4 linked regions of the Diceros bicornis minor genome follow. The protein of the gene in region 1 interacts with the protein of each later gene in a biochemical or structural test. Links are inferred from orthologs where the notes say so. Each region holds a gene or a part of one and is shown in the gene's direction. Other genes may lie near its edges. The genes, in order: HSP90AA1, PTGES3, HIF1A and AHR.

Evidence for each region.
Region 2: the proteins of HSP90AA1 (region 1) and PTGES3 form a complex in vitro, tested with the Homo sapiens proteins (10 studies listed by BioGRID). The link is inferred for Diceros bicornis minor from reciprocal best matches to the Homo sapiens genes HSP90AA1 and PTGES3.
Region 3: the proteins of HSP90AA1 (region 1) and HIF1A form a complex in vitro, tested with the Homo sapiens proteins (4 studies listed by BioGRID and IntAct, with this or other methods). The link is inferred for Diceros bicornis minor from reciprocal best matches to the Homo sapiens genes HSP90AA1 and HIF1A.
Region 4: the proteins of HSP90AA1 (region 1) and AHR form a complex in vitro, tested with the Homo sapiens proteins (2 studies listed by BioGRID). The link is inferred for Diceros bicornis minor from reciprocal best matches to the Homo sapiens genes HSP90AA1 and AHR.

What each region holds. Positions count from the first base shown.
Region 1 is NC_080763.1:46,925,911-46,934,001, reverse strand, and holds the start of HSP90AA1 (heat shock protein HSP 90-alpha), read left to right. Parts: upstream 1-4,743; 5' UTR 4,744-4,837; intron 4,838-5,391; coding exon 5,392-5,553; intron 5,554-5,645; coding exon 5,646-6,012; intron 6,013-6,375; coding exon 6,376-6,509; intron 6,510-6,823; coding exon 6,824-7,144; intron 7,145-7,361; coding exon 7,362-7,527; intron 7,528-7,714; coding exon 7,715-7,905; intron 7,906-8,010; coding exon 8,011-8,091. UniProt on the Homo sapiens protein: Molecular chaperone that promotes the maturation, structural maintenance and proper regulation of specific target proteins involved for instance in cell cycle control and signal transduction.
Region 2 is NC_080756.1:12,197,090-12,204,686, forward strand, and holds the start of PTGES3 (prostaglandin E synthase 3), read left to right. Parts: upstream 1-4,273; 5' UTR 4,274-4,288; coding exon 4,289-4,296; intron 4,297-7,597. UniProt on the Homo sapiens protein: Cytosolic prostaglandin synthase that catalyzes the oxidoreduction of prostaglandin endoperoxide H2 (PGH2) to prostaglandin E2 (PGE2).
Region 3 is NC_080763.1:11,158,721-11,166,874, forward strand, and holds the start of HIF1A (hypoxia-inducible factor 1-alpha), read left to right. Parts: upstream 1-4,630; 5' UTR 4,631-4,899; coding exon 4,900-4,934; intron 4,935-8,154.
Region 4 is NC_080742.1:43,514,954-43,522,438, forward strand, and holds the start of AHR (aryl hydrocarbon receptor), read left to right. Parts: upstream 1-4,384; 5' UTR 4,385-4,977; coding exon 4,978-5,042; intron 5,043-7,485. UniProt on the Homo sapiens protein: Ligand-activated transcription factor that enables cells to adapt to changing conditions by sensing compounds from the environment, diet, microbiome and cellular metabolism, and which plays important roles in development, immunity and cancer.

The sequences.
Region 1 (8,091 bases):
TCACCCTATCTCCCATCCTCCATCAAGAGAACAACAGCGAGTCCATCCACTGAGAGCTCACTGTGTGCCAGGCACAACAGGCTTCCCTGGGATTAGTTCACGGCATCCTCCCACATCCTTACTATGATCATCCCTACTGTGAAGATGAGAAGACTGAAGCACAGAGAGGTTGAGTAGCTTGCTCAAAGTCACACAGCCAGTGAGTGGCAGGGTTGACACTCACAATCCAGCTGAAGATCTCTACTTTAACCCACACCATCCTCCTCCGAGTCAACTGTGCCTCTTTCCAAAGTATGTACCACTTAATTTTCCTATATAGTTATAACTGGATTCTGAATATTTCTCCAAGGTCTTTGCTAAACATCAATTGTTTTAAAAACAGCTTTACGAGGTATAATTGACATGCAATAAACTGCACACGTTTAAAGTACAACTTGCTATGTTTCAACATACACTTACACCTGTGAGACCATCACTGCACTCGAGATAGCGAACACACTCATCACCCAGTGTCCTCGTGCCCCTCGAAATCCCTTCCTCCCGCTCCTGTCAGCCCTGCCTCCCACAGGCAACCCCTGATCGCCTTCTGTCACTATTAATTAGTTTGCATTTTGTAAAATTTTATATAAATTACTGGCATCTTTCCCTCAGCATAATTATTTTGCATACAGAACATGTACCAAGATAGACCATATTCTGAACCATAAAACAAAATAAAAATGAAAAGACTAAAATCATGCAAAGTATGTTTTCTAACCACAATGCAATTAAATATTAGAAATCAATAACAAAAAGATATCTGGAGGGCCTCCAAATATTTAGAAACTAACACACTTATAAATTACCCATGGGTCAAAGAAGAAATCAAAAGGCAAATGAGGAAGTTTTCTGTTTACTTTAATAAACATGTATATAGCAGTTACCTGGGACAGTTCCAAACACAGAATGAGCTCAGTTAAGCCTCATAACCATATGAGGAAGACATTTTCATACCCATTTTACAGATGCTGAAGCAGAGGCACAGAGAGAAGAAGTGACTTGCCTGGTCACACAGGTAGGCAGTGGCAGAGCTGGGATTTGAATCCAGGCCCTGGATCCAGAGTCTGGGCCTTGTATCCTAGCTTACTGGGAGGACACTGAAAGATTTCAAATGCAGGAGGAAAACTGTCAGATTCCCCTGACAGCAAGATCACTTTGGGACAAGTTCAACAAATATTTAGGAGCTAAATCTGTAGGACTTAGAGATATATTAGAAATACAGAGTTGAGGAGGCAGGGTAGAAAAGGAAGAGAGTTGGGGGTAGGAGAGCAGGGTTTGGAAGGCTCGATGATGTGGATGAGCAGGTGTGGTTCATGCCAAGAGGAAGAGATGCCCACATCCTGAGAGCCTGTTCATATCAAGGGATCCACTCGGGCCAAGTGGGAAGGGAAATGGAGGTGGGAAGAGGTCCCTGAGGAAATGTGTGAGCTGAGGGTCCACTAGGACATTAAATAGGAGAAAAAGAGAGAGAATGCTGTTCCAGGCCGAAGGAACAGCATTTGCACAGCCCTGTGGCGGTAGATCACGGTGTGAGGTGTACAAAGAAGAGTGACAGGGAGCACGGTGGGACCCGAGGATGAACGGGTAGGTAGGGGCACCCTGCAGGGCCTGGCAGGCCTGGTTAAGAAGCTCTTTTTCTCCTAGGAGTGATGGGGTGTTAGCAAGTGTTTGAGGAGTGTGTGGAGGAGGGGACTGACAGGGTCAGATCTGTGTTCTCACAGCGCCCCTTGGCAACAGGCGGGAGGCAGACCAGAGCAGACTCAGGAAGCAGTCAGCTGGCTATGGAGGTCTTCCAGGTGAGCTGATGGTTGTGTGGGCAGGGGTGAAGGCCCGGGGGGGGGGGGGGGGGATATGAGGATGGAGAGAAGTGGATGGATTCATAAAGTATTTAGGAAGCAGAAGTGGCAGGGCTCACGTCAGATTCCCTACGGGGTGTTTGGGGTTCTAGAAGGTCGTGGGATAGTCACCTGGCTAGTGAGCCCTAGAAGGCCAGAGAGGTGGGGGAAGTGAGCTCAGCAACCAGGTCTGGAGCTAGAAGAGTCCTGGCTGGGGCTTTTCTGTGCATCATCCGCACATAGGTACTCTCCCAGGAGCTCCAGCAACAGGCCAGGGAGAGGGGGCGAGTCTGGAGGAGAGAGAGGAGCAGCCAGCGCCCGGAGGGAAACCACAGCATGCTGATGGTGGAACCAAGGCAGAGGTGGAACCAAGGCAGAGGTCTCAAGGAGGGCAGTGGTGGTTAGTGTGGAATGTTACCCAGAGGTCACGGGGGACCAAAAACGTCCTTGTACTTAGTAACTGAGGCGGGCAGGGCAGGGGAGAGCGGGAGGACAAGATTTGGAATAAGGGAGGGATATTGTAGGCGGAGCTTCCTGGAAAACAAAGGTTCCAGGAGTAGCCTTGGGGCAAGTTCTCTGGAGGAGGGGGGAGGTGAAGGCCTTAGAAACCGAGAATTTCACAGCTGGGGCTTTGAATGGCTCATCTACAAGAAATCTTAAACCTCCTGGGCAATGGCGTAAGTGGGATAGAAAGGAAAAAGTGGGTCAGGCCTCCAAGTCTAGAAAAGAGGAGGGTGGCTGGTGGGCTACGGGTGGAGGCGCCCGCAGCGGTGGAGACCTTAAACAGCTGATGGTGGCCACAAGGAACCCACAGCACTACTGCCCCTCCCCCTCCTCCGCCCGCCCCCCAACCCCCCCAACCCCTCCCAACCCCCGCGCCGAGGCGTCCGGACACAGCTGGAGTCAGAAACACATTTTACGTGCCCCAACAAATGCATAACAACCCTCACCTACCCTTACCATGTGGCTTCTAGTTCCCATTCAATTTTTCCCATTTTAACGGTAGTCAGGACGCCCTACGTTATTTCACACACTCCCAGTGGGTCTCAGGCCCCAGTTTGAAAACCCCGTTCCTGGAAAAGCTGGGTTTCCCCAGGGACAAGGAAGTGGAGGCAGCGTTCAGTCAAGTCTGTTTACATCGTAAGGAGCTTCCAGATTGTTCCCGAAGGCTCGGTGTGTAGCGGGGGGGAGGGGGAGGAGGAGGAGGAGGAGGAGGACCAATGGTGGGAGGAGCTAGAGACAAAGGAGCCAGAGGAGGGCGGAGGGTTTCCGAGGGAAAGGCCGTGGGCGGGGCAGGGGTGCTCTGCGCGCTGGGCCTTAGTTTCTCCAAACGGGAAACACCCTGGATCTTGAGCTGGGCGATGACTAAGGACCCCTGTCCCTCTGAGACTTTTACAGCTTGGTCTGGCATTGTTCAAAACACTTAGAATTCCCATTTAGAAGGTGGCTTTGGGGGCAAGTTAATCACCCAACCCATGAATTAGATACTTCATATACAGATCTCATATTACGTAAAATAAGTAAAAAAGATGGGCTTTACAAAATCATGACGGGTGTAGCTAGGTGAACACGCATTTGTTCACCAAATCTCCGAACTCCAGACTAAGGGACCCTCAAAACGTGAAGGATGTAGTTTTATGGCAAACCGAAGGTAGATAGAAATCCCCAAGAGACTGAACAGACTGCGCACGGGTTTGGAGAATTTGCGATTGTGTAAGTGTCCATTTCAGCATTTCCTCCTGTGTAGGCGTAAGGACGGCACCAGCCCCGCAATTTGGGCAGTGGCCAGTGTTTGGGGCGGGGGGCGGACCCTCAGAAGTACCAGCTGGCGCTCCTCGCTCCCTGTCCCACTCGGCCTCAGAACCAGCTGCCTGGAGCCCCACGAGGTCCCGGCGGCTCCCCTTGTCCAAACGTGACTTCCACTTCCGTTGGGGGGGGGGGGGCTCCCATCTCATAAAGGCAGAAACCAAGGATCGGCCTTGCCTCCCCAAGCGCATGCCCTGGTCACCTCTCACAGCCCATCATGGACGGGCACCGCTGCACCCGCTAACCAGGCCAAGCGTCCCGGGCCTCCGCACATCGAGGCTCTCGCAGGGGCCTGTTGCCCGAATTCCAGGCCTCGGAACCCATAATCGCTGCCTAGGGCGAACAGATGCGGACCCGTACCCCTAAACCCGGCTCTGGACCCCCCAATCGCTACCCCGGGCCCTCAACTCCTAAACGTAGCCCTGAGCCTCTCTAATCACTGCCCTAGACGTATTAATGCGGCACCTGACCCCTCACCTCTGCCTCGAGCCCCTAAACAGGGCCACAAAGCCCTAAACCTGGCCCCGGGGCCCTGGTCGCTGGCACTGGACCCCTGACACTGCGCTGGCGGGCCCTCGTGCTGGGGGACCCGAAGCTTTCACAGCACCAGGACACTCTTTAAAAATTAAAAGTTGACTTGCGCGGATTTCATAAAAACACGAGCAGGGGCACTCAGCCCCTGACCACACTCCCCGGGCCTGCACGGCGCCGACGGCGAGGGACCGCTAGGGGTGCCGTTCAGCACGTCCGGGAGCGCGCAGGGCTGGGAGCGCGGGCTCAGGATTGAGCTGTCGGCACGGGGACAGGGCTGGTCCCCGAAAGCGCGAGACCTTCCCGAGAATTCCGGACCGCGCAGGCGCACTGAGGCGGGCGCGGCGGCGCGCGGCGGCCGTTGGGGGAGGGGCGCTCAGGCCGTTGCTGCGCGGGTCCGCGCGCGCCCGGGAGAGGGGCGGGCGGCGGCCAGGGCGCAGGCGCAGGCGCGCGGCCGCGGCGGCGGTTGGGGAGGGTGCTTCCGGAAGGTTCGGGAGGCTTCTGGAAAAGGCGCCGCGCGCTGGGCGGGCCCGCCTCTATATAAGGGAGGCGCGGGGGCGGCGCGCCAGTTGCTCTTGCGTCCTGGTGCTGCGTTGTCGCGGAACCCGTACGGTCCTTTAGCCGAGGTGAGGGGGTGGTTGGGGGGTCTCCGGGGAGGAAATGGGGTTCAGGGGACGGGCAGGCGGGCGCAGTCTGCGGGTGGCGGGGTTCGCTCCAGCCCTGGGAGCCCCCCGGCCCGCGGGCGTGGGGGCGGCCGTGGTTTCCTTTCCGAGGCCTCAGGCCTGCGGCGGCCCCGACCCTCCCGCCTCGGGAGCGGGCGCGGGTCGCCCGGACGCGCTGCAGGAGCGAAGGGGCTGCCGGGGGCGGCGCCTCCCGCGGCGGAGGGCCGTCCTCCCCGCCCGGGAAGGCGGCTCGCCCAGGCCGCCTCCGGCCGGCCCGCGGACCGGGGGCTTCGCGGTGGGGCCGGGACCCCCGGCTGCGGCCCAGTCGCCCGGCCTCGGGCCGCCTCGAGGCGCGCGCACGCTCCTGTGATCGCAGCGCGAAATGAGGTCATCCTTTGTCGGCCGGCCTCCTGCTTTCAGTTTTCCTCAATTGCGCTCTAAAAATACCTGAAGGCGGGTGAGGCTTGCGCCGCTGTCGCCGTCCTGCGGCGTGTAACGTGGCACGGTGTCCTTTCCAGATGCCCGAGGAAACCCAGACCCAAGACCAGCCGATGGAGGAGGAGGAGGTGGAGACGTTCGCCTTTCAGGCGGAAATTGCCCAGTTGATGTCATTGATCATCAACACTTTCTACTCGAATAAAGAGATATTTTTGAGGGAGCTTATTTCAAATTCATCAGATGTAAGTCTCATTACCGTAGAACTGGGTTTTGAGGTTTCGGTATTAACTTCACCATTTAGGGGCTCGGTGTTTAATGATCTGTTTTGTAATAGGCTTTGGACAAAATCAGGTATGAAAGCTTGACGGATCCCAGTAAACTAGACTCGGGGAAAGAGCTGCACATAAATCTCATTCCGAACAAGCAAGATCGAACCCTCACCATTGTGGATACCGGAATCGGAATGACCAAGGCCGATTTGATCAATAACCTTGGTACTATCGCCAAGTCTGGGACCAAAGCGTTCATGGAAGCTTTGCAGGCTGGTGCAGACATCTCTATGATTGGCCAGTTTGGTGTTGGGTTTTATTCTGCCTATTTGGTTGCTGAGAAGGTGACCGTGATCACCAAACATAACGATGATGAGCAGTATGCCTGGGAGTCTTCTGCGGGAGGATCGTTCACAGTCAGGACTGATACAGGTAGGCACCTGATAAAGCATTTCCTGGGTGAGCCAGTCACGTGGAGGGTGGGGTGCTGTAGGCGTGGGACCCCTGAGGATGCAGAGAAATTTGTGAAAACTTGTATCTGCTTGGTATAATAGGAGGCAAGCTGGTGAGCATGTGGTGGTGTAGTAGCGTGAGCTTGTGGTTCTGTATGGTGGGCAAAGCAGTTAACTAGTCTGGGACTCTTCCTATCTATAGTAACGGTAAACCACGTCTCCTGGACTTGTTCACAAATTGTTAGGTATGGTGTCCAGAGCTGAATTGATTGTATGTACTCTTTGTTTCCTTGGTTTGGCTGTTAAGATTGGAATTGAGTCAATTTCTCTATCTCCTTTTCAGGCGAACCAATGGGTCGTGGCACAAAGGTTATCCTGCATCTGAAAGAAGACCAAACAGAGTACTTAGAGGAAAGAAGAATAAAGGAGATTGTGAAGAAGCATTCTCAGTTTATTGGCTACCCCATTACACTGTTTGTGAGTTTGTGTGTATCCTGTATGTAGAAAACTATAAGTGATTTAACTGAAATCCTTACTCCTTAGATTTGCTGATAAGGAAAAGACCCAAACGTGTGTTTACTGGATTAGTCTGAATTCTTTTTAGTCTCACAAGGTACCAGGTACCCAGAGGTGTTAAGTTAGATCCATCAGATACTAATGAGGAGTTTCTTGGCTTCTTAATGTTTCCTAGCTTGGCTCACTAATTTAGGCTTTGGTATAAGCGTGCCCACTCCATTTCGCTTTTTTTAGTTCTGGAATGCAGAGGTGATGTGATTTTGTGTTTTTTGAAGGTGGAGAAGGAACGAGACAAAGAAGTCAGTGATGATGAGGCTGAAGAAAAGGAAGACAAAGAGGAGGAAAAAGAAAAAGAAGAAAAGGAATCAGAAGACAAGCCTGAAATAGAAGATGTTGGCTCTGATGAAGAAGAAGAAGAAAAGAAAGATGGTGACAAGAAGAAGAAGAAGAAGATCAAGGAGAAGTACATTGATCAGGAAGAGCTGAACAAAACAAAACCTATTTGGACCAGAAATCCTGATGATATTACTAACGAAGAGTATGGAGAATTCTATAAGAGCCTGACCAATGACTGGGAAGATCACTTGGCAGTGAAGGTGAGTCACTGCTGAGTGCTTCAAAGCTAGTCTACCTCTGCAAGTTGTTTCTCTGAAATCGTTAAGGGCTGTTGCTGGCAGCTTTTCCATCCCAGCCCCTATTCCCTCCCCGAAAGTGCTTTATGTTGTGTAATTAAGGTGTGTGTGTGTCAGGTTAAGCAGCTTTGAGTGAAAGTTGCTTGCACTGTGTGCTGATTTAGTGTGTATTTTATTACAGCATTTTTCAGTTGAAGGACAATTGGAATTCAGAGCCCTTCTTTTTGTCCCAAGACGTGCTCCTTTTGACCTGTTTGAAAACAGAAAGAAAAAGAACAACATTAAGTTGTATGTTCGCAGAGTCTTCATCATGGACAACTGTGAGGAGCTAATCCCTGAATATCTGAGTGAGTATGGTTGGGTATAAGGAATGATCACTGTCACTGGTTAAAGAATTTTATTCTGTCAACTCCAGATCTTCAGTATAATAAGCATGTGGGACGAAAAGTGGCTTATCTTTGGTTTTGGGGGTGTATTTCTTTGTGAATTTTTGTCCTTAGAATGATTGAGTGCATTTGGTCCTTATTTTTTCAGATTTCATTAGAGGTGTGGTGGACTCGGAGGATCTTCCTCTAAATATTTCCCGTGAGATGTTGCAACAAAGCAAGATTTTGAAAGTTATCAGAAAGAATTTGGTCAAAAAATGCTTAGAACTCTTCACTGAACTGGCAGAAGATAAAGAGAACTACAAAAAGTTTTACGAGCAGTTCTCTAAAAATATTAAGGTTGGTATAAACACATTCGATCATTAGTAGCTGTAGTCAGATAGGCTTCTCAAATTTCAAATGATTTTTAACGCAGAAAATGTCTTCCTAAAATTTATTTTTCAGCTTGGAATTCATGAAGACTCTCAAAACCGGAAAAAGCTTTCAGAGCTGTTGAGGTATTACACATCTGCTTCTGGTGATGAG
Region 2 (7,597 bases), on another chromosome or scaffold:
AGTTGTTTTTAGCTCTATTACTGCCAAACGAGACTGATAGGGTATGCTTTCAAATTGTGGGACAATAATGGCATCAGATAACATGAAGTAATTTAAGTTGCTATACATGATGTTTACATTTAGCTAGGTCATGATGTTTCCCTTAAACTTTATGACCAATTTCTTATTCCCTACACCTAGAACAGATTACTACTTTACCCCCTTTCCCTTTATTTGCCTTACAAATACAAAATTAACAACCTGTAAGTTCTTTATCTTATTAGAAAATCCTCTCATAAAACCAGTCTGTTCTCATCTGTTATTATTTAAAAAAATATTTTTAATTGCACATGTAAATCTATAAAGTTCTGTTTTGCTGTTAGTGACTATGGACACATATTTAAATTCAGTCCTCAGAAAATATCGGAAGGTTGATGCTACAATTATAACCGACAAATTGTTTCTGCATTCTTTTTACTACTGTTAGTATTAAACTTGTGAAATGGGCATCTACTACTTGCCAGGTATTTTCTAGTTTATGCCAATTTGGGTTGCAGATTTCTCTCCCAAAAGCCCTAACACTGTAACTATACATGTTTGAATCTAGAAAGAGAACTTGTTAGTGAATTCGAAAAAGGAACCTGGTACAACTTGGGTCCCCACCAGCTAATGGTTGAGATAACATGTAAAGGGATGGATAAACCTGATTACAAACTATTTGTGAAACGTCTGAGTGAGAAGCCATTTCCAGAGCTACACTAACATGAAATCCCTTGAAATACGTCTGACGGGGGAAGTAAATAAACTATGAAGTAGGATGCAACGGATTTGAATTTTCAAAAATTTCTTGTGTGGAAGGCAGTTTTTCCCACAGCACTTATTTAGATAAGGGAAACTGCCAGTTATTTGGAGTTGCAGTCTTCTAAACGCTATCTTCAATTCAGTTCCTCCATTTCTAGTTCACCTTATACATTGTTACCAAATTAATCTTTCTAGAACACAAGTGTTACTGCCCTTCAAAAAACTTCAACAGCTTCCCACTGTCAGAGAAATAAGTTGAAAACAATTAGCCTGGTATTCAATGCCACCATTACTTGGTTGTGACCTACCATCTAAACCTTATTTTGAATCATTCCTCTATACTCTGGACTACCTAGGCCAGGGGTTGGCAAACTACAGCCTGCAGACCAAACCCAGCAGGCTGCCAGTTTTTGTATGGCCTTCCAGGTAAAAATGATTTTTACATTTTTAAAGGGTTGGAAAAGAATATCGTGTGACATGTAAACATAAGAAATTCAAGTTTCAGCATTCTTAGTGTTTTTTTTTTTTAACACAGCCACTCTCATTTTTTACATATTTTCTATGGTTGATTTCATGCTGCAACAGCAGAGTTCAGAAGTTGCAATAGAGACCTTATGGCCTTATCTGACCCTGCACAGAAAGTTTGCCAATGCCTGATCTAGATGTACTTCTATTTCTTTCTTTCTTTTTTTTCTGTGTGTGAGGAAGATCAGCCCTGAGCTAACATCCATGCCAATCCTCCTCTTTGTTTGCTGAGGAAGACTGGCCCTGAGCTAACATCCCTGCCGATCTTCCTCCACTTTATGTGGGACGCTGCCACAGCATGGCCTTACAAGCAGTGCGTCAGTGCTCGCCTGGGACCTGAACCCAGGGCGCCAGCGTGTGCACTTAACAGCCACGCCACGGGGCCTGCCCCTATACTTCTATTTCTCTCTCTTCACCTATCTAGAGTCCTGCCTGGAATGTACTATTCCCACTCATTCCTGCTGTCACCTCTATGAGGCTGTCAAAGAATTTTCAAAAAATTTACAAACATGATTCTCCCACAAATATAAAATTAACACGAGCCAAACATTTATTGAACTCACTGACGGAACCAGTAAGACGGTAAAACTGGTTGCAGGCGTATTTAAGGAGCTAAGTATTTAGAGCCACAAAAATAAAAATTACAATAAGGTTGAAGGTTAAACAAAAATACTGTCCTACACAGCAATAAAACTGTAACTTTGGGGTTAGCTTTTCTATCAATCAGAAATCTACAGCGTTACAAGTAACTTACAATGTTTGAGCTCTAATCATTTAATAAATAGCAAAGCCAAACACAGGTACCTTCTCCCAGAGAATAATGCTTAGACAGGCAAGTTAAAACACGTCCCAGTATGAACTGCAAGGCCATCCCTCCAGGCCTTGCCTTATTTCCATGTTTTGGGTAACTTTTAACAAGGCCTATCCTAATCCTTCCAGTCAATGTGGACCTCTCCTCCTTTTATGCTCCCATCACTTTTTGTACTTCCATTATAGCACTCAGTTATCTGCATTTGCGAATTTTATTTTCCCCAACAGGCAGTAGGCTCCTTAGAATCACAGTATTTAAGAGCTGAGATTTAACCTTCCTTTTTCACGGGATTTGAGCATAGGGCCCAGGGTTGCAGTTCTCAATACCTGCCTTGCCCCGCACAGATACTTAAGTCCTTAATGCCGAATATGCAGCCTCCACTCTTTCCAAAATGTCTCAGGGCACTTTCCTTACACCTCCTTTGGGTTCTAACGGGCGGTGCACTGGTGTTTCTCCCTTACTCCACTGTTTAGTGGCCTTCTAGAGTAGGCAGGTACTGTTTGGATTCTCTTGGTTACTATCTCCCATTAGAGCCTAACCCAGTGCCTTGCACAAAGCACCAGTTCAAGAGACAAAGGTTGAAACAGATGGGGGACTCTCTCCCCAACTGATGTAGCTGGAGACACCGAGTGTCCTAGCCTCTCCATTCACATGACCTTCCTGTCTCACCTACAGCACTAATACCTCAAAGCAGGGGGAAATGCCCGCCCCAAATGGCAAACATTCCTCCTCAGCCAAAGACCTCAAATTTCCGCTGCCCCTGGACACGGTCTCCAACCCTCAGAGAAACGGCGAGGTGGACTAGGCCCTGGATTCTGAAGTCAGCCCTTTCCGCAACTATCACCAGCACCGCTTTTCGCATCTTTTGGCGGTGGAATGTTTCCTCGGTGGGCTGGTTTACTTCCTCAAGACTAACCAGTCCTCCCTTTCACTTTTCAAGCCTCCCGACTCTGCGTCTCTCCGCCTCAGCTCGCCTCCCCCGGAGACGGCCCCCGGCGCGTGGCCCCATAGCGGTGCGGCCAACGGTTTTCCGACGCGAGGGGGGAGCGCAGGAGCAGAGGCGGGAACGAGTCGGGCGGGAGAGAGCGGACGTAAGGCGGGGCCAACGCCGGGAAGGATCGCGAAGGAGCTGGGAGGCCCCGCCCTTTCCGTAGATATCTCTAGAAAGCCGCGCAGGAAACCAAAAACAAAGAGTGCGCACGCGCGGCGGTAGGGCCCGGGCATTTTGCTGCGTCACCAGCCGCCGCCCGGCCTCACCACCCCTCGCTCGCACGCACGCACGTTCATTCTCCGTCCTCGCGCCCCTTTTCCTACAGTTTCCTCTTCTCCCCGACCGGAGGAGCCGCTCTCTCCGCGCGGTGCATTCTGGGGACCCGGGTCGAGCCCGCCGCCGCCGTCGCCTGAGGGAAGCGAGAAGAGGCCGCGACGAGGAGAAAACGCCGGAGTCGCCACCGGAGAGGAGCCGACTGCCCACCAGCTGCCGCCGGAGAGGCCCGCCCATCCGTGCGCCCGTCCCCCTGCCCCGTTCGCGATGTGAGTGCGCCACCCCTCCGAGGGAAGGTCGCCCCGGAGGGAGGCCGAGGCCGTGCTGGGGGCTGTCGGGAAGCCGCCTCCCCCTACCCCGCTCTTGGCCCCTTCGGCTCTCTCCCCTCAGTGGTGGCAGTCGTTCCTCCCCGGGGTTGGAGGTCCAGGACCCTGTTCCGGGTATCGTGGCGGGTGGAGGACATTTTCCTCCAGATGTTCGCTTTCCCCTTTGGGCAGTCCGCGTTGTCCGTAACTGTCCCTAACTAGTCTCTGGCCTTCGTCTCCCGCGAGCTTTGGGCCATGTGGGCGCCCTGGAGGTGGGGGCCCTCGTGGATTGCCGCTTGGCATCCTGGGCCGTGCGGTTCGGCCGCGCTGTTGTCTGGGACCAGGCCGTGGGCCAGTGCACCTGTGGTGGGTGCTCCCAGAAGCTGGGGGTGCTCCTCGGAGGGCCCCATGCGGCCTCCGCCGAGAAGCGACAGGCACTGCTAGGCAACTGGAGGAGGCCGCGCCGGCGCCACCACTTACTTCCCTCTCGGGTGTCGGGATTTCTTGAGCGTGGGTCTTTCCAGGCCTCCCCATAACTCTAGTCCCTTTAAGGGGCTGAAGGTTACCAAAACGCAGCTTTGTCCCTGGCAGCCAGGAGCTACCATGAGCAGGTAGTTGTGCACGTGTCGAGTCCAGAGATACTTGTGGACATTTTCTGTGTTCTTTGTTAACAGGCGAGGTTTCATTATCCTATCCTAATTTAAGGTTGAAATAGGTATGTGATTGCCTCCTTGTTGTCTTGAAGAGCTTAAATTTGTTTTTGTGGAGGTGACCACACATTTTTTAGCGATCTTTAGTTTTTATTATGGTAAAGGAAAACCTCGGTGATTTTAACCGACTAAGAATTCTTGGCACTGCCACTTCCAGGTCTTACATTCTTCTCAGGAAAAGCTTTTACGTTTTCAGGTGTGTGAACTGCCGGTTTTATAGTTTTTGGGACTAACTGCTCTCTAAAGGTTACGTATGGAGAGCAATTGAAGGGGAGCAGTTTTTATTCCTATAAAAAGTAATGCACTTTCAAGGGTTTATGTAATTAATGACATTAACGGTGAGTATGTTGGATTAGACATTTAAATGGTAAAGGATACACTATAGCCAGTTGACGACGGGGAACAAGCCTCGGGAGGAAAGCATGTGTTACTGTAAAGGGAATTTATTAGAATTTTGGAAGGATTTTTTTCCCCCATAGGTGATATCTAATAGAAGATTTTAATTTATGTAAAATAGCTTTTGCTTTTCCCTTTGAAATCTCTATTCCAAATAATGTAGCAGGATTGTCGGTCTTAAAGTATCTATGAGAAGAAGATGAATTCTCAGATAAAGCGTTACCAACTTTTAATAGACTAATGTAGCCAAACAAAATATCTTTTCGTTAAGAAATACCATGTTTAATACGGTTTGAAATAGAAAAACTCTAGGGAGGTCACATAAAATAGTTAGATAGGAAACCTTAACTAAATAGATTAAAAGATGAAAAGTGTAACAATATTCCAAAAAGCACTGTCTCTACGTAAAGAATGCTACTTTCAAAATGAGTGTTTTGAAGAGATCAGATAAATCTCATCCTCTTTAAAATAGTCAATATATGCAATTTTGCAAATTGTTTAGGATATCTTATTGAACTAATAAAATGAATGAATTTACAAGATGAATATTATGAGTTATTTGAATTGGGAAAAACTTTTAATGGGTCATCCAGTCCCAGGAAGAATCCACTGATAAGGGTTCATTTTGTTGATGTCTGCTATAAACATTTTTCTAGTTGTGGAAATAGACATTTATGCTGGAAATCTTAAGGGTTTTAGGGTCTGGTTTTTTTTTTGTTTTTTTTTTTTTGAATGCTCTGTAGTAGTGATTTCCTGGGTAAATTTCTTTTAATCACGTTTTTAAAGTTTTGTATAGTAGCATACATGAAAGCTCTCAATCTCTCACCTACCTTGGAGAAGGCTGGAATTTTAGGACCTCCCTCCCCCATTTAAGACCTGCGCAAACCCCCTGCAGGGGGTGCTCATTTGCTTTTTTTTAAATTAGCGATTGTAGTTGGTTTTAAGTTGGACCCATTGACAGTGGGTATAAAGTAAAATGTTTTATTTAGTTTTGAGCTATTTGAAGTCATTCTTTTTGGTGTCCTGTACTTAAACTAATAAATTGTCCAGAACTATACCATGACTATTTCTAACGTTGATTAAAATCTTATTTACTTTGCCATCACTCAGCTTTGTAGGATTGGGACCCGAAAGTAAAATCATCAATGTTTTGTTTCCAGAACAAATTGTAATAGTGAGCATGGGGTATATGGTTAATTTCTAAAAGCTAAGGAAAAGTAACTGATCATGGTCTTTGTTCAGTGTTGACTTCCTAACGACTGTAATCTGGCAACTGGATTTTCTTTTTTTCTATGTTTAGTTAGACTTTAACTAGAAGGCAGTAGAAACTGGAAGTGACAAATCACCTGAGTGCAGACCAGTATGTATTGTTAATTAAGATTCTTCTGTTTAATTGTATTTTCTCAGTTTTGAAATCTAGAAGCTATATCATTTTGGGGTCTTAAGTGGCTTGTGATTGTAGCTTTTCAGAAAAAAATACCTTTGTAATATCAACTGTTTTAGAATCAATCTAGCTCTTAAACGCTTAAGATCCTATTTTATCTGAGTTCTTAAATTGAGAATTGTTGCATCTAGTGTAGTTTGCTACAAAAATACAAAGTGTGTTGTAGTAAACTTTTTGTAATTTACTGTATAGATTGGCAGTGATAGATTTTAAATTGAGGCTGACTTCCCCAGGACACCTTTGAACTTTTGATTTTTCCAGGAAGATGCCAATTACTTGAAACCCTACCTTGAGCAGTATACTCAATTTCATGTTGTATCCCACAGCCAAATAAAATGTGCTGTTGTGGATTTTCTGTGCAATAGTTGATCTTCACATGTAGCTATACTTTATTGCCGGAAAGTTTATGTCGGGGCCCTTTCCACCTTAGCATGTTTAATTATCGTTGTGTACTGAAAGGATCTAAGTTACAGACAGGTGTTTAAAATTTTTAATTTTATTAGATTCTAGGATCTAGTTATTCAAATATCAATTCACATAGCACCAATTAGTATAAAGGGCTGTCTCAAATAGAATTGGAACCCAGGATTTCTGACAGAAGGCTTATTTTTTTCTACTTAACAAAAAGGGAGAATAATTTTCAGGTGGTCCTTTTGTGTGTGTGTGTGTGTGTGTGTGTGTGTGTGTGAGGAAGATCAGCCCTGAGCTAACATCCGATGCCAATCCTCCTCTTTTTGCTGAGGAAGACTGGTCCTGGACTAACATCCGTGCCCATCTTCCTCCACTTTATATGGGACGCTGCCACAGCATGGTTTAACAAGCTGTGTGTAGGTGCGCGCCAGGGATCCGAACCGGCGAACCCCGGGCCGCCACAGCGGAGCGTGCACTTAACCGCTGCGCCACAGGGCCGGCCCCTCAGGTGGTCCTTTAATTTCCAAATAAAGAATCATGTCTCTGTAGTTCATTTTTATTTATTATCTAAACTACTGTTTCTGTTAAAACCTGTGCCACTTCTTGACATATGGTAACGGAGCCCTGAGGCTATGAAATTTGTCTGTAATGGAGGCAGTGAGAGATTGACCTCGTTTGAGTTTTATACGTATGAAGAAAAAAATTTTTTTGTGTGAGGAAGGATAGTCCTGAGGTAATACCTGTTGCCAATCCTTGTCTTTTTTGCTGAGGAGTATTGGCCCTGGTCTAACATCTGCTGCCAGTCTTTTTCTACTTTATGTGGGATGCCTCCACTGCATGGCTTGATGAGCGCTGTGTAGGTCTGTGCCCAGGATCTGATCCTGGGAACCCCAGGCCACCAGGAGCAGCACGTGCGAACTTAACTATTACACCACCGGGCCCGGCCCCGGC
Region 3 (8,154 bases), about 36 Mb from region 1:
GTGTTTTTGCCTTTTATTTTTTCAGAGGGGAAGAAAAGATCTTAGGAAACACTTCTCCACAGGTGAGCAGTATCTCAGCCAGGGATGGCAAATAGGTCTCAACACTTATACCGGCTGCTGGGGGAATCTTGAGAAATGAGGATATACCGGGGAGTAGTGGGAAACACTCTGAAGCAGGTTAACGTACCTACCATGGGGGCAGAAGGGTGATGGTGTGCCATTCACTTGCCATCTCTGTTCTAAGTCATAACGTGATTCAGAAGTACTTAACACTCTTCATGAACCTATTTAGCTGAGTGATTAGGTTAATGGCTGAAAGAGCGGACTGGTGTGGAAGATGAAGGGACTGCAGGATAATGAATTAGCTTCAAGGAAATACAGCAAGAAGCAAAAGCTCAACCATCCATCATCTTAGTCCGCTGCCCCCTCAGCTGGCTGGAGATGGGGCACAGTACCCCAAGCCCATGCTTTTTGCCTTTTAGCATGTCTTGTAATTTTTTTTGTTGAAAGCCAGACATGCTGTATCAGGTAAAAGGAACTTAGGAAGATAGGCCTTTACTATGAAGTTTTGTTTATCTGGCTAGGTGTTAGGCTGTGTTATTGTTTGCTGTAGCTGTGGTATCTAAGCTAAACTTTCCTCTAGGGTCCTTGTTTTTGTTTCTTTTGTTGTCTTTGGATGTCCCTAGTGACTCTTTAAATAGGGTCTGAGGCTTGCAGTTCCTTTAGCTGTAATCCCCCGTTATTATGTAGGAGCCCTACTGATGTGGTGTTCTGGTGAGGTGCGGGAGGAGGGGAAGCATTCTATAGTCTTATAATTATGTCTCAGTCTTCTAGCGAGCCTGAGTTGAGCATTTCCCTTCTCCCATGTTGAAGGCTATAGGGGGCTGGAATTGAGTGTTTTCCTTCCCCAAGGTGGGTTAGGCTCCGGTAAAATAGTTTCCCTTGAGGGCAGACCTGGTTCAGAAAAAGAGAGAGCTCTGGGAGTATTTCAAAAGGGTTAATTTTCCTTTCCCCCTGCAAAAAGCAAGAGGAGACGCTTCTCACATCTTCACAGTAAGACTCTGTTAGGGCTCCTAGAAGTAAAACTCAGGAAAGTTCTAGGGCCCCTCTACGGCTGAGCCCCCTTGGAGTTTTTAACTCTCAAGCTGGTCCAAACAGAGCCTCCAGCAATTCCTCAATTATAGTTGAATGCGTTCCTATTGATATTGGCTCCAACTGTGCTGTTGGCTTCAGCTGCTGGCTTTGGCTCCTGGTCAACTGTGATCCTTTGGTAAGCTGTGCTTCTTTATATCTGTCTGTCTCTCTAGTTTTCAGGTAGGAGTTTGTCCTGTGACCTCAGTTCTCTGATAGATTTAAGAAGAGTTGTTGGTTTTCAGTTTGTTCAGCTTTTTTCCTTATTGTAAGGATGGGAGCTCCCAAGCTCTTTGCATGTTGGACTAGAGACTGAAAATCTTTTGGCATTCCTTTGTAAATTTACTCTTAAAATGTCTATTATAATGGAAAAATGCTAGTGTCAAATTTTCAGTCTATTCTTATTCTCCAGAAACTCAGACAAATATACATATTTTGTTTTGATTTTTGAAAAAAGATTTTTAATGTCTATTCTAAGAACTTTCCAGACGATTGCTTTTTGTTGTTGTTGTTGTACAACAACAATAGGTTGTTGACAATAGGTCAAGGTGGTGGTGGAGGGACTAAGGGTACTAAAAGATCAAGAATCACTTATTGACCACCAGGTGTTCTTATATAGTTTGATACATTCTAAATTATCTGTTTCTGATGTGTTTCACTCTTTAAAAGGCTCAATGTTCTATACTATTTAGTAGTAATCCAAATTTCAAGTTTTATCTTGCTTCCTCCTGACTCACTGCCCAACTTCCTACTAAATATGGGTTAAGGGTCAATTGAGTCATTTGCAATAATCTTTCAGTCTACTTGCAAAGTTCTGCAAAGTGAGTTGGAATGAAATTTGAACACTTACAAAGATTAGAAGGCGATTGAATGAGACTCTTCATTAAGATTTATGTTCATTGTAATAACCTAAATGCATTTATTAATAGGTGGTTGTAAAGAGGATGATTTACAATTTTATCCCATAGAAAATTTTGTTTTTCAGAATTCTGTTATTTAACAGGATTGATTGAATTAAGGAATACTATTTGGCTCCTTCGTAATTATATGAAAACAAGCTGGTTGAATATTACCACTTTCCGTGTTCATATATGTATGTGTGTGTATACACATTTATACATACATATGTATACATATACACATAAAATACCATATTTTATACATTTCTGGAAAGGAAAATTGAACTTTGGGGTAAATTTAATGAACGTTCAAAAATATATTTTGCTGTTTGAATTATCCTTCTACTTTAAACTTTTGAAATGCTCAAAATTTTTTAAAAAATGACTTAGATTTGCTATTACAAAATGCTCATTTTTTAAATGTAACAAACACTAAAACAGAGAGAATTTCTTACAAGTAAATGACAAAGGAAATGATTGAAGATTTCTGCAACTGTGCTTGTGTAGGAGGGTGGGAACACCGTGGGCAGTTCCAAAGTTTAAAATAGGGAATATATGTGGATGTATATGAACATAATTGACATTTTTGGATAGCTAAAACTAGCTAACCTGTGGCAGAAGCCCAAGTAATTACTGCTAGCAGAGGCACAAATTTGGGGGTAATAATGATAAGAATAATGAAAACAAGACCACCAACAATACTAATGGCTAACAATTATTGATTGCTTACTATGTGTCAGGTATTGTTCTAAGTGCTTTACATGTACTATCTCATTTAATCATCCCATAATTCTGTGGCATAGACACAAGTGAGTAAACTGAAGCACAGAGAGGTTAAATGAATTAGTAAGTGTCAGAGCCTGTATTGCAAGCTCACTTTTGACTCTGGCACCAGTGTTCTTAACACTGAGTTTTCAGAATGTTAAACTAAAAGGTTTGTAATTTACGTTTATTCTTTCCACAATTAAAAAAGAAAACATGAGTAATTATTTTCGGTCCTTTCCTCTTTTCAGGCATTTTCTCCAGTACTTTTCAAGAATACATATCATTCAGCATTGTAGATCTGAAGAAAAAGTAGCATTAAGATCACTCTTTAACCATATCTTTATGGGTCTACAGACCAGTTACAGAGAGGTGCTATGTGAATCCGTTGTTGTCTTCTCAGAGTTTAATGCTATGTTATACAGACCATTGTGTTCACACACCAATATAATTGAAACCTACTACAGATATCCACATTAATTAATACACAACCCAAAGCCACATTGTAACAATATAACTAATAATGCAAAGGTGAGAAGCAAAATACTGTAATCTAGTGTCAAGTGGAGATATATGTGCAATGCTTCTTTGTTGAGCTCAAAACACATTCTTTATTCATTTAAAAGACTGACAGTCTTGAAATGTATGCTTCCAAAGCCAAAAAGTGATTGTCTTATCCAGCAGCTTGCAAAGTCATGTTAGCAAACAAGCAATACTGGCCGCCACCATAAAGTGTTAACTCGGGTTCAGCGTTCCCCTGCCCAGGTCTCAGCGAGGGGTTTGAAGAATCCTTCCTCTTTCCAGTCTACACAGTGAACTCAATTCAAGGTGGTAAGTCTCAATCAAGGGTCATCTTCCCCTTTTTTCCCATCCTTCTAAGATTATTTTCGGCTCTTTTAGAAGCAACAGGAAAGTAAAATAAAAGCCTATCTAAAGCTGTTTTTCCTACTCTTCCTCTGAAATTCAGGTTTATGCTCTTTTATTAAAGCCACTTATACCTATTTGTAAATGCTTAAAATAATTTCATATTTTAAGATTTCCTGCTACCTGCTTCCCTTGAGAGGTTTACAGCAAGAGGAGTTTGTTTATCTTTTTATTTGCATTTGTTCAGTAATCAAACTTCACAGAACAACTTAGTGGACAAGGAGGGTACTCTTGTGTTCTATGGCAGAATGTGGTCGGTGACATGGCCCGTGGCTGGGCGACCTGGCAAGAAAGACCCCATTGTAACACATCTGGGCAAAGGAACCAGAGTTCGCTGCCACGACGCGAAAAGTCTGTTTTTTTGAACTAGGACTCAGCAGAGCTGGCGGCAACCCTGTACAGCATAGCCGCCGAGGAAAAAGAGAGCAGGAGACTTGCCGCACCGAGCAGGAAACGTGATGCAGGCTTGGGACCCAGAAACCGAAATCTCTTCTCAGCAGCGCCTCCCAAAGCCAGCCACTGCCTTCCCAGGGAGAAGGCGCAGAGTCCCCAGACCCACGCTGGCCGCGCCCCCAGCTCTTCTCTTCCCTCCGCCGCTGCACACAGACGAGCACGTGAGCGCCGCGGCGCTTCCCAGCTGTGTCTCAGCTGACCGCCTCCTGATTGGCTGAGAGAGACGTGGGCTGGGGTGGGGACTGGCCGCCTGCGTCGTTCGCCATTGGCTCTCAAGGAACCCGCCTCCCCCTCAGGTGAGGCGGGCTTGCGTGAGCGCGCGCCGGGCTCCGCGGTCGGGCGCGCCCCCGACACACTACCCCCCCCCCCCGCGCGTGCGCCCCCGAGCGCGCCCCCGCCTTAGCCCGCCCCCTGCCGCTGCCTCAGCTCGTCAGAGCACAGAGCCGCTTCGTCCGAGGGGACGCGAGGATCGTCCTCGCCGCCGCTTCGGCCAACGCGTCGGGGTGGGCCCTGACGAGCAGCCCGAGGAAAGGCTCTTCTGAGCCGGACCGGGACCCTTGCGACTGCAGCCCGCTCCTCCTGCCTCTCGTCTCACGGAGGGTTTCCCGCCTCGCATCCCCCACCTCCGGCCGTGCCTCGCCATCTCTCCCGCGTGTGGAGGGAGCCAGCGCTTAGGCCGGAGCGAGCCTGGGGGCCGCCGGCCGGGAGGCATCGCGGGGCCCGAGTCGCCATGGAGGGCGCCGGCGGCGCGAACGACAAGAAAAAGTAAGCCCACTCCCTCCGCCCGCCGCGCTCCCCGCCGCCGCCCCCGCCCGCCCTCCGCCGCCGTCTCGGGCTGGCGGGCGGGCCTTGCGTTCCGGGGGGGGCCGCCTTTTTGTTTCTGCCTGCTCTCGCCTCTCCTCCCTCTCCCCCGGCCCCGCCGGCCCGGCTCCCCTGGCCGCGTCGCCATCTTGTCGTGGGGGGTGGGAGACGCGTCGAAAGTGCTTTCGGGGGCCGGGGGCTGAGCCCGCCCGGCCGCCCCGCCCGGCCGCGGGGCCTCGCGCCGCCCGCCCCCCCCCCCCCCCCCCCGCCTCAGACCCCGGCTCGCCGGCGCCCGATCCGGGTGGACTTCCCCGGCCTGGAAACCCCGGGCAGAGGAGCGAGCCCGGTGGCCGCGCTGCACCCGAGCTTCCGCTCTTCCCGCCCCCATCCTCTCCGGTTCCATTGAAAACTCGGCCCCGGGGCGGACCCTGCGCGCGGGTCCGGGCTTCCCGGAGGCGCCAGGCGCTGGGCTCCTGGCCCGGGGGCTCGTGCTGCGGCCCTGCGCTGGTCCAGCGCGGCCGGGGCTTGCCTTTGTGCGTTCGGGATTTGCCGCGGTGGCCTGAAGATGCTAACTTTTGAGTTTGCACGTGCAGGTTTGGTTTTGTTTTAATGGCCTTGAAAAACTTGCCTTGACTTAGAGGGGGAGTAACGGGAATTGAGAGAAACAGCAACATTTTAAAGAGAACATCAGAATTGGATACTTGTGTTTCTATCACCTGTCAAGAAAGCCCAGACGTTATAAATGAATAGATGCCTCATTCATTCTTGAAAATATTACGGTGAAAATGTAGCGGCTGGCTAAATTTGGGCAATCGTTGTTAATGACATTGGAAAAAAGGTATGTGATCAGAGCGTATGAAATGCAGCACTAAAATGTTGCAACATTTTTAGAACTGTCTCATTTTCCTGAAGTTGAAGTATATTAAAGGGAAACCTTCAAAATATATCCGCAGTAAATAATCATCGAGTTAGAACTTAATGCAAGTTTTTAAAACACTTTTAAGTTTGCGTCTGAGTGATACATTATAGGATTAAGAATTGTGAGTCGAACCGGTGGGGTTAAGAGTGATCCCCCTCCATCCCCCCACGTACAGTTGGGTCCACTTTGGTATTTTAACCTTTGAGGAAATCATTTTAAGTAATTGAAGATTTATAGTAAGAGTTGTGGTTAGTAGACTGGCTTTACTGTTAAGTCCTTCCACTCTTCTGGGAGAGATTAACTTCCCTAATCAGTATCAGCAGAAGATAAACTTGTTTATGTTCTTGCTATTTTGTAGATCCTTTTTTGGTTCTTATTCAATAGAATGATAAGTTCTCAGTTTATGTACACCAGAGAAAGCACTTATAAAATTCAAAAAGTGAGTAAACAGGTCTAGACTTAATTCCAAGAGTTGCCAGGAATTAATTTCAATTAATTTTGCAGAACTGATTACAGTACTTTTGATGAAATGATGAGGCTGCTGTATTGTAAACCTAAGACAGATTACCTCTTTGTAGTGCCAATTTTTTGTCCTTATATGCAGAATTATACTTAATACTATGCATCAAGTTACGCACCCGTCACTTCCTTTTTATATGCAATATTGTACTTATTTCTCCTTTGCAGTTCATCAGTTGAGACTATCAAAGGCAGCTTTAATAAAAATGAATTAATTAGCTGTTGTGCATCACTCTCAATTCTAAACTAGTTCTTAGATTTTTCCAGACTCATCTGTTATTTAAGGAATTTTCTCGTTTGGAAATTTAGCAAATTTGGATCAGATTGAATCATATTTCTTGATATAGATGTTCTTATAACTGAAAAATTAAGTTAATCACTTAATAAATGGTGGCTACTCAACTTTTAGACGCTATTTGTTAGAGATGTCTGGTTTTTATCCTTTTCTAACTAATAATTTTAAAACTTTTTGAAAAGATAACTGAGAGATTGAGGGGCAGGGATTTTTTCCTTACAATTTTTCCGTTTAAATGAGCCTTCCAGAGTCCAGATTATGTAGACAAATTTGTCTTTTTTGAAGGTCTAGAAACTCAAAAGCTGAAGGATTGGAAGAAATCAGAACAGAGGATAGGTATGGTTATAAGAGATAACATAGGGCCATTCATGTTGATTCCTTAGTAGTAGGGGCTGGACTTGTTTAACAGTACACTGATACAGATTTTTAGGTTTCAAAGAAATGTCATTGGTCTGTTTCAGGTTTCAGGCCAGACTCCTTCAAAGTTTTCCAAAACAAATAATTATTGGATCATTCAAGTAAAATGTCTGAGAATGAACATTCCTTAACTTCCTTCTTTAACTTTGGTCATTAAAAGTCAAGAAGCTCTCTCATTTTCTTAGTTGGAAGAGGAGCATGCCTGGTGGTTAAGAGCATAGGATCTGGAACCAGACACTTCTGAGTTAAGAGTCCATCATTTTCACTCTGTCAGCTTTGTGAGCTTGAGTAAGTTACTGAATGCTTTCTGAGCCTATTTCATCCTTTTGAAATGAGAATCATAGCCCCCATCGTAGCAGTCGTTGTGAAGATTAAATGAGATAATGCCCAGGACCTGGTTTAGGAGTCTTGGTAACACTGTGCACTTGAAAATAGGCATCACCTGTTAAAGTTCTAGTTTAAACTTCCACAACGCTTAAAAACTTTTTTGTAAATTCTTCCAAATATTTCTTTGTTTTAGATCCTCTTCTCCCACTTTCGTGCATTTTTTCTATACCTCCTAAAAATGAAAAGACTAACATTGGATCCAGAGCTTTAAAAGGAGTTCTTTCTGGTTAAAACAGTACATCTCTGAGTTGTGTTGGCATCTAGCATCAATTATTCTTCTTGAATATCTGATTTCCTGTGTACCCTAGGCCCCCATCGTCACACTACCTTACCCCTTTGTTTCCTCCCCAAATAGGTTACTTTGAATTTGCCTTGGACGTTAAAGACTTCATAAACACATATACTAGTCACACTGTTCGTTTCAGCAAGGTGTGAGCAAGGCACAGCAGTCTTAGGACTGGCGGTAACTTAAAACATGTTATGTCTTGACACCACAGTTTAAAGTAGACAATTTTATAAATATTAATCCTTGCTAAACATGATGAGTTGATAAAATACTCCCAGTAAAGCATATGAACCTACATGGTAGAAAAAGTATCCTTTGCTTATAAATTGCTCCAGAGTTAAGACCCTTGGCTTCCACCTCA
Region 4 (7,485 bases), on another chromosome or scaffold:
AATAGGGTTAGCATTTATTTTAGTTATTTTCCTTTATTCTAAGACAGCTGCTATGTATAATAACATTCCTAAAACTTATTTCTTTTTCTCATAATATTTAGCAGGAAAAAGAAACCCATAGAAATATAGCTGCATCTGAAACCTCAGAAAGTCATCTCACCTAAACTAAATAAAAGGATAATGGTGCTTTGGATTAGGCAGTCAAATATTAATAAACTCTTATATGCAAACCAATTGTTATAAGAAAAAATCACGTTATTATATAAAAATGGCTCATGGAAAATTTAAAAATTTTAGCAATGGCAACAAAACATACTTTGAGAACCATGTCCTACAGTGGTGATATTAGAAGTAGAAGTGATAGTTTCTAAAAGTGGCAACTCATTCTTTTTTTTTTTTTAATTGCATTATACTACAAAGACTGATTTTATTGACATACTAAGCAAAAATTTTAAGGGCAGTGGATGGTGTCACTATTAAAATGAAATGAATTCTGAAAGTCTTGTTGATACTCTTATTTCAATCTTGGTATACAAAGATCAGTTACTAAACTGATTGTAATACAGTATAGCATGATATGATTTCTGGATAATGAAAATGGTCCTAAAGTCAAAAAGAAAATAAAGGTATGGAAGTAGGACAAAATAAGACAGAGAATGATTGTACCAAAGAACTAACAACCTTAAAAAGGTGGACATTTTTAAAAAACACTAAATTAAGATTGATTATTGGGATTTAGTACATTTAGTATATCCTTTTTCTGAAAAGGAGCTTTAAACTACAGAATCAATAAATTATGTTTTGATATGCATTTTTCACCCTTAAAGTTCCTATGCTAGAAGGAAATTACTTGTTTACACTATACATTTTAGATAGAACAGCTATGAATAATAATACAGAGATGAGGAAATAAAAGAGAAGATAAGATAGAGTTGGTTGACTCTGTGCCCCCAGAACTGCTAATCCATCCACAGCAAACTCTCCTGTATGCACTGTCTTCTTTGCTCCATCTTTTGCCTTAAACTGAAAGCTGGCTCTCCCTGAGGGTGTCATCTCCAAAATGGTTCCTAATTATTTTTCCTCATCACCTAGTTCTCTGTTGCCACTTCCTGCATCACTTTCACTTTATAGTCTTGTAAAATTAAAATAAAACAAAACCCATCAACCACAAAACACACCTGCTCCTTTGTAGGTCATGCTAGAATACTCTCTTCATCACATCTCCTTCATCTTTCTGATTCAAAATTACCAGCCCACTACATCTTACCCACCATCCTCTTTTCCTCTAGCTTCTGTAGAGTAGTGCTCCTCAAACTTCACGTACATTTGAATCAACTGGGAGATCTTGTTAAATTCAGATTCTGACTCAGTAAGGACACCCAGAGGTTCTGCATTTCCTATAACTCTCATGAGAAGCTAAGGACACTGTGAACAGTAAAGCACTACATAAACTCTGTCTGGTATTATCTAATCTGCTATAATCCTAATTCCCCTTTTCTTTTTTGGCCCTCGTTCTCTCTTGCCTTTACCATTTTTAATATCTATTGTTCCCTTACTATTCTTTGTCTTTCTTACACAGCCAATCTCAATCCGTCTCCTCTCTTTCTCAACTGCTTAAGTATCATCCATTAAAAACAACAAACCCTAATTTAACACTTTACTCCCCCTAGCTACCATTCTAGGTCTCTCCCTTTCACAGCCAAACTTTAAAAAAAAAAGAATTGTCTGCGCTTGCTGATGTCATTTCTTCATCTCCAATTCAATTCTGCATCCACTTCAATCTGACTTGCAATCCACTAGCCCACTAATATAGTGTTCACTAAAGTCACCAATGACCTCGTGTTGAGAAGCCAAAAGACATTTTCAATTCTCATCATATTTGAAACTCTCAACAACACTCAATAATGTGAACCACTCCCAACATTTTTCCACTTTGTCCTCTACGACACAATAGTGCCCTCACTTTCCTGTTACCATTCGAGCAACTCTTTTTCATTCAGTTTTACAGGACCATCATCTTCTATTCAGCTATTGGATACTACATATTGAAATTCTCTGGGTCCCAGTCTTTCTCTGGTATATATTTGCACCCTACAACCTCCACTCTCTCATGTCACCTAAATGCAAATGATTTCTGAATTTATATCTCCAGTTCATACATCTTCTTTGAGTTACAAACATGTATATCCTATGGCCTACCTGACATCTTCTCTTAGCTATCTCAAAGGTACTTCAACCCTAAGAGATCCAAAGCTAAATTAATAATTTCCCACCAGTACGTGCCATTATCACATAGCCAGATACATAGTTGAGAACACTATTATGATGTTTTTGACACATCCTCTTCCCTCACTGTCATATATCCACTCTATCTCCCAAGACTTTCCCAATATCTATGGAATCTATTAATTTTCTCCATCTCCACCATCACATCCATCCTAGTGTCAATAATGTCATCTCTTGGCTGGATTACTGCAGATGGTTTCCTGAGGAGTATTACTTCCATCCATTCCGCTCTGTTCCTGCCTCTTTGATCTGTTCTATACCCTGCAGATATGGTGATATTTTTGAAACGCAAATTTGATCATTTGTGCCCTTCTCCTCTGCTCATACTGAACTTGTTTTAGTCCCTCATACCTACCAGGCTCCTTCCCACTAAAGGGACGTTGCTTGTACTGTTTCATTGAGTTGGAATGGTCTTCCCCTGCTTTCTCCCAGCTAACCCTACTTTATCCTTCAGACCTCAGCTCAATCAACATTTTGGGGGGAAAGCCCATATTTGCCTCAATGAGTAGGTCAATTTATCCACTAGAAGATCATACTGAGTTGTGTACTTCTCCATTACAGTATTTCCTGAGAGCATAGGACATTTCTGTTTGTGTTCACCATTGTCTCCCCAGTACTAGCATAATTCCTGGCACATAGGAGTCACCCCCAAATCTTTTTTGATTGAATTAATGTGTGGAGGGGATAATATTAGCTTAGGAATCCTACATGGTATGGCATTTGAGCTAGGCACTGTCTGCTATTATTGAAGAATAAAGTTGAGGGAAATGAATTAGGGATATTGTAAAGAACAAAATTTAATAGTATTTGCCGGAATATTTACATATAAGTGGTAGGCGAGTTGAACATGATTCATAGGTTGATCTGGAGAACGGCGGAGCCAATGACAAAGTTTCAGCTAAAGCATATGACGAGCTTAATGTATTGATGCACTGAAGTTGAGGTAACAAATTTACCAGGTGGAAACAGCTTGAAGACATTTTAAAACGTAGGAATGGATATGGTGTGAGATGTCATCTAGGTATCTTAATCTGGATGCCCTTCTGCTCCTGACAAGCAGACTCCTCTGTGTTTACTATCCTGGTTAACAGCACAGAAAGAGTCAGAAATCCTAGAGCCGTTTGAGACTGCTCTTTCTCTTCCCCTATTTTCTTATCCTTTTCTATCATCATCTGAATTTTCTTTCTTCTCTCCATCCCCACTGCCACTTCCCCGGACTTACACCCGGACTATTTCAACCGTAATGAAATAGTACAACGACCTAAGTACGGTCTCTGCATCCATCTCCCGTATTCCAGTTTGCACTTTCCTCCCAGAGGGACTTTTCCAAGACACCAGAATGTCACTTTTCTGCTATCTTTAAAAGGCTTCCAATGCCTACAGAATAAAATCCAGACTCTTTATCAAGGCTTTATGGTTTGAGCCTAGAATTTCGGAACTTCGCCTCCAGCTCCTCTGTCCAACCATAGCAGACTGCTTATTATCCCCAAATGCCTTGTGCTTCCCTTCTTCCTCGTTTCCTTCCTTTCAACTTTATTGAAATCTGACTACAGAATAACAAAGTTATTCTGGCTAAGGAAAAGATGTTATATTGTTTAGGATGGAGACACACACACACACACAAAAAGCCAAGGAAACTCCTAGCCTTCATGTTTTAACTCAGATGTGGCCTCCTGAAGCCTTTCCCTCTAGGAAAATTTAGAGTTCCACTGGTTATCCACCAGCTCACTGCAATCCTTCGCCAAAGGTTAGCTGAGTCACTGTCTCTCATATAGGTGAAGTTAAGCTCACTATTTGGCATGTCTATCCTTGAGATAGTCTAGCTACAAAGAGTTCGGCTACAATACGCAATTTGTTGTCACACCTCTTTCTGGGCTGCAAATCTGGCCACAGAATTCCACCCCTCGACCTCAAGAAGATGGCTACTGGGGGGCGTCGTTACGCCTTACGTCATCACGTACAGGGAAGGTGGGGCCCTCAAGGAAGATGGAATGGAAGGGCGGGGCCAAGTAGGACGGGGCGGGGCCACGAGGGGCTGGGCGGGGCCGGAGACGGGTTGGGGGCGCTTCTGCTATTCAGCCGGTGCGCGCGGCGGCGGGAGGCAGCCCCTGGCGGGTGCACTCGACGTTCCGTCCCGGGAGCGTGCCCAGGACCAGCGGCTCAGACCTAGGGCAGCTGCGTAGCAGAGCGGAAGCTGGTGGCACCGGAGTGGCGGTCGGAGTCCGAGCTCCGCGGGCGGGAAGCACCCAGGATCTGGGAAGCCCCAGGAGCAGCGCGGCGGCGCCTCCCTTACCCGAGGGGCCGCGGCGACGGTCACGGGGCGCGGCGCCACCGCGCGCGACCCAGGCCGGGATTCCAAACAGGCAGCCCAGCCTCCTCCTCCGCCCGGGCCGCCTCACCTGCGGCCAGCGCCGCGCCGCCTCCGCCGGTGTAGAGGACACCTGCGCCACCTCGCGCGCCGGTCTCCGCCCCCGCCCCCCGGCGCCAGGCCCGGGCGGCGCACCTGGACGCGCGGGGCTGCGGGTGCCGAGGAGCGAGGACGCGGCGTCCTCGCTGCCGTCCGGGGAGGACGCAGGTGGAGCAGCGGGAGCGGCTTCGTGGAACCCCGCGCCCGCTGCCGCCGTCGTCCAGGTCGCCGCTGGCTCCCGGGGAGTGGGCCGTCCGAGCCGGGGAGGAGCCGCCGCCGGCACCATGAACAGCAGCAGCGCCAACATCACCTACGCCAGTCGCAAGCGGCGGAAGCCAGTGCAGAAAACGTGAGTGTCCGGAGCGCGTCCTCGGCGCGGGGGTGTGCGCTGTGGCACGCGGGTGCGGGAGGTGGCCGCACCCCGCCCCCAAATCCCCGCGGTCCCGGGATTAGGTCCATTCCTGACACAGTCCGTGGAATCGAGATTTGGAGGCCGGTCGAAAGACTCAGGCCTTGGATTTTCCTTTTTTAATTATTGCATTTTAAAAATTGTGCCCCGTGTCCCCAGCGCACCCTCTCGCACCTCCACCCCTTTGCAGCTCTGTTCTCTCTTCCGTGGTCCTAATTTGTTGACAGCTCTGGTCTGCTGTGTGGGGCTGGTGGATTAGTTAACCTAAATCCGCCTTGAAATCCCTTTCCACTTTTAATATCCTCATCGGTTAGGTTAGAGGACGGTCATAATTCTCATTCCTGGTAGGGCGAGATGTTTTAAAGATCTAAACACGTGCTGTCTGCAAGAAAGTGGCTGAGTGCCTCTGAGGGTATTTTTTGGTCCGGTGCACCTGGCTTCTGTTGGGCTCTTATTTGACAGTAATTTTGTAGCGCTCAACGTGACCATATCGGTAAAATGTATAGAGGTGGTAGCAGGTATGAGTGAGTGTAGTGGACAGGATACAGTGAGGGATTTGTGTTTTCAGCCACCTTTTGGAGGAGCTTTCTTATCACTTTGGGGATGGTTTTAGGGTCGTAAAGAAAAAGATTTGGAACTGGAATTACTGAAACAGACGTTTTCATTCTTAACATCTTTCTCTAATTTCCTTTTCCCCCACTGCAAAGTTTTGTCGATTCTAATAGAATGGTTACAAACTTAGATTTTCTGTTTGTTTTGGTGGGCTATTTATGTGAGATGACAAATACTTTAAAATAATTTTTTTTCAGAAAAAAAAATCTATGCTTGAGACAGATTTACTTTTAATTGGCTTTATTCATGTGTTTATTCCTAATTATCTCTGAGACACTTTATTTCACATTTTTCAAATTTTCATAAACAATTTTAAGAACACCTTAAAGCTTTACTCAGAGCAAATCAGAAGTGTGCATTTTGGTTAAAACTTAACTTAGGTCACTAATCCAAACCGGAAAAATAAGAGTTTAAGATTTATATTTAAAACCAGTAACTTGGTTTAAAAGTTTCATTATTCTGGAGTTTTAATTTCCATTTAGAATTTCAATGATCATAGTTCTTCAGATCTAGACTTGGCATTAACAGAGGATATTCGTCTATAAATAGACTGATTAAAATTTGGAAGTCTTATCCTGCAGTGTGGCTAACATTAGGAATACTGCCGAGTCAGCAATTTTCTGTCTTGCCTGTTCTGTGACATTGGTTTACCATACTTGTATTTCGTAGAGTGGTTTCTTACATAAAAATGTATTTGTCTAATTCTGTGACACTGGTTTACAATACTTGCATTTTGTAGAGTGGTTTCTTATATAAAAATGTGTTTGTCTAATCTGACTTTAACCTTGATGGTTATTAAAATTGAGAGGCGTTCCAAATGCATGTCCTGTGTAATTACTAATACAGTAGCATAAATATAAAGAGGTATCATGGGTTTTTATGTGTATGGTCATAAAACTTGAATATCTCTTTGATGGATTTTTAAGTTACTGAGTTTTAGTCAGTGTGTTACAAAAGGACCTAGATGACTTTTTTAAGAAAAATCAAATACTTTAATTTTGTATTCATTATAAAGTTTAACATTTTTGGCTCCTAGTTAACATTTCATTAAAGATCTTCCCTTTAAACATATTACATTTTCTTTTATTTATATAAGATGTACCTTTTATTATTTTATCTTAACATTTTAATATACTTTCTAAGACTTTAATAGTTTGTATTTAATAATCTCTTGTACTACAACTAAAGCATTTTCCATGTTTACTCTCATTTTATTTTATTCAGTTAGTATAGATGTTTATCAGATCTTTACTGAGCGCCATGCATTGCTTCTAATCATGTAAATGCCTTAAAATATCACTGCCCTGCTCCATAAGGAACGCCTATTGCTGCTATTTGCAGAATCACTTGAAATTGTTTATCAGTTGTTTTTACCTGGATGAAAAATGGTTAACTTTATAATGCAGTTAATCAAAGTTTATTTTAGGAATGTGACCATTAAACTCAATATTAAGTTTAATATGAATTTTTTAAATTACTACCTTGGAGCTAATGGGGTCTAAAATATGCCAACGTTGTCAGAAAAATACATCTTGTTTGAGCTGAAAATGCTATTCAGATGTGGTTAACTTTGACCTCTTAAGTGATAGCCATTTTATTTTACTTAAAGAGAAGATATATTGTAGTATAATTATAGAACTGTTAATAAAATGGCCATTTAAATATATAATTCCATAAAATTTTGGAATCAAGTAGGTGACATAATTTTACCCTGAAGTTCTTCCAGTCTTCTGTTGAATTATATTACACAAGATAAACTCCCCCTAGTGGC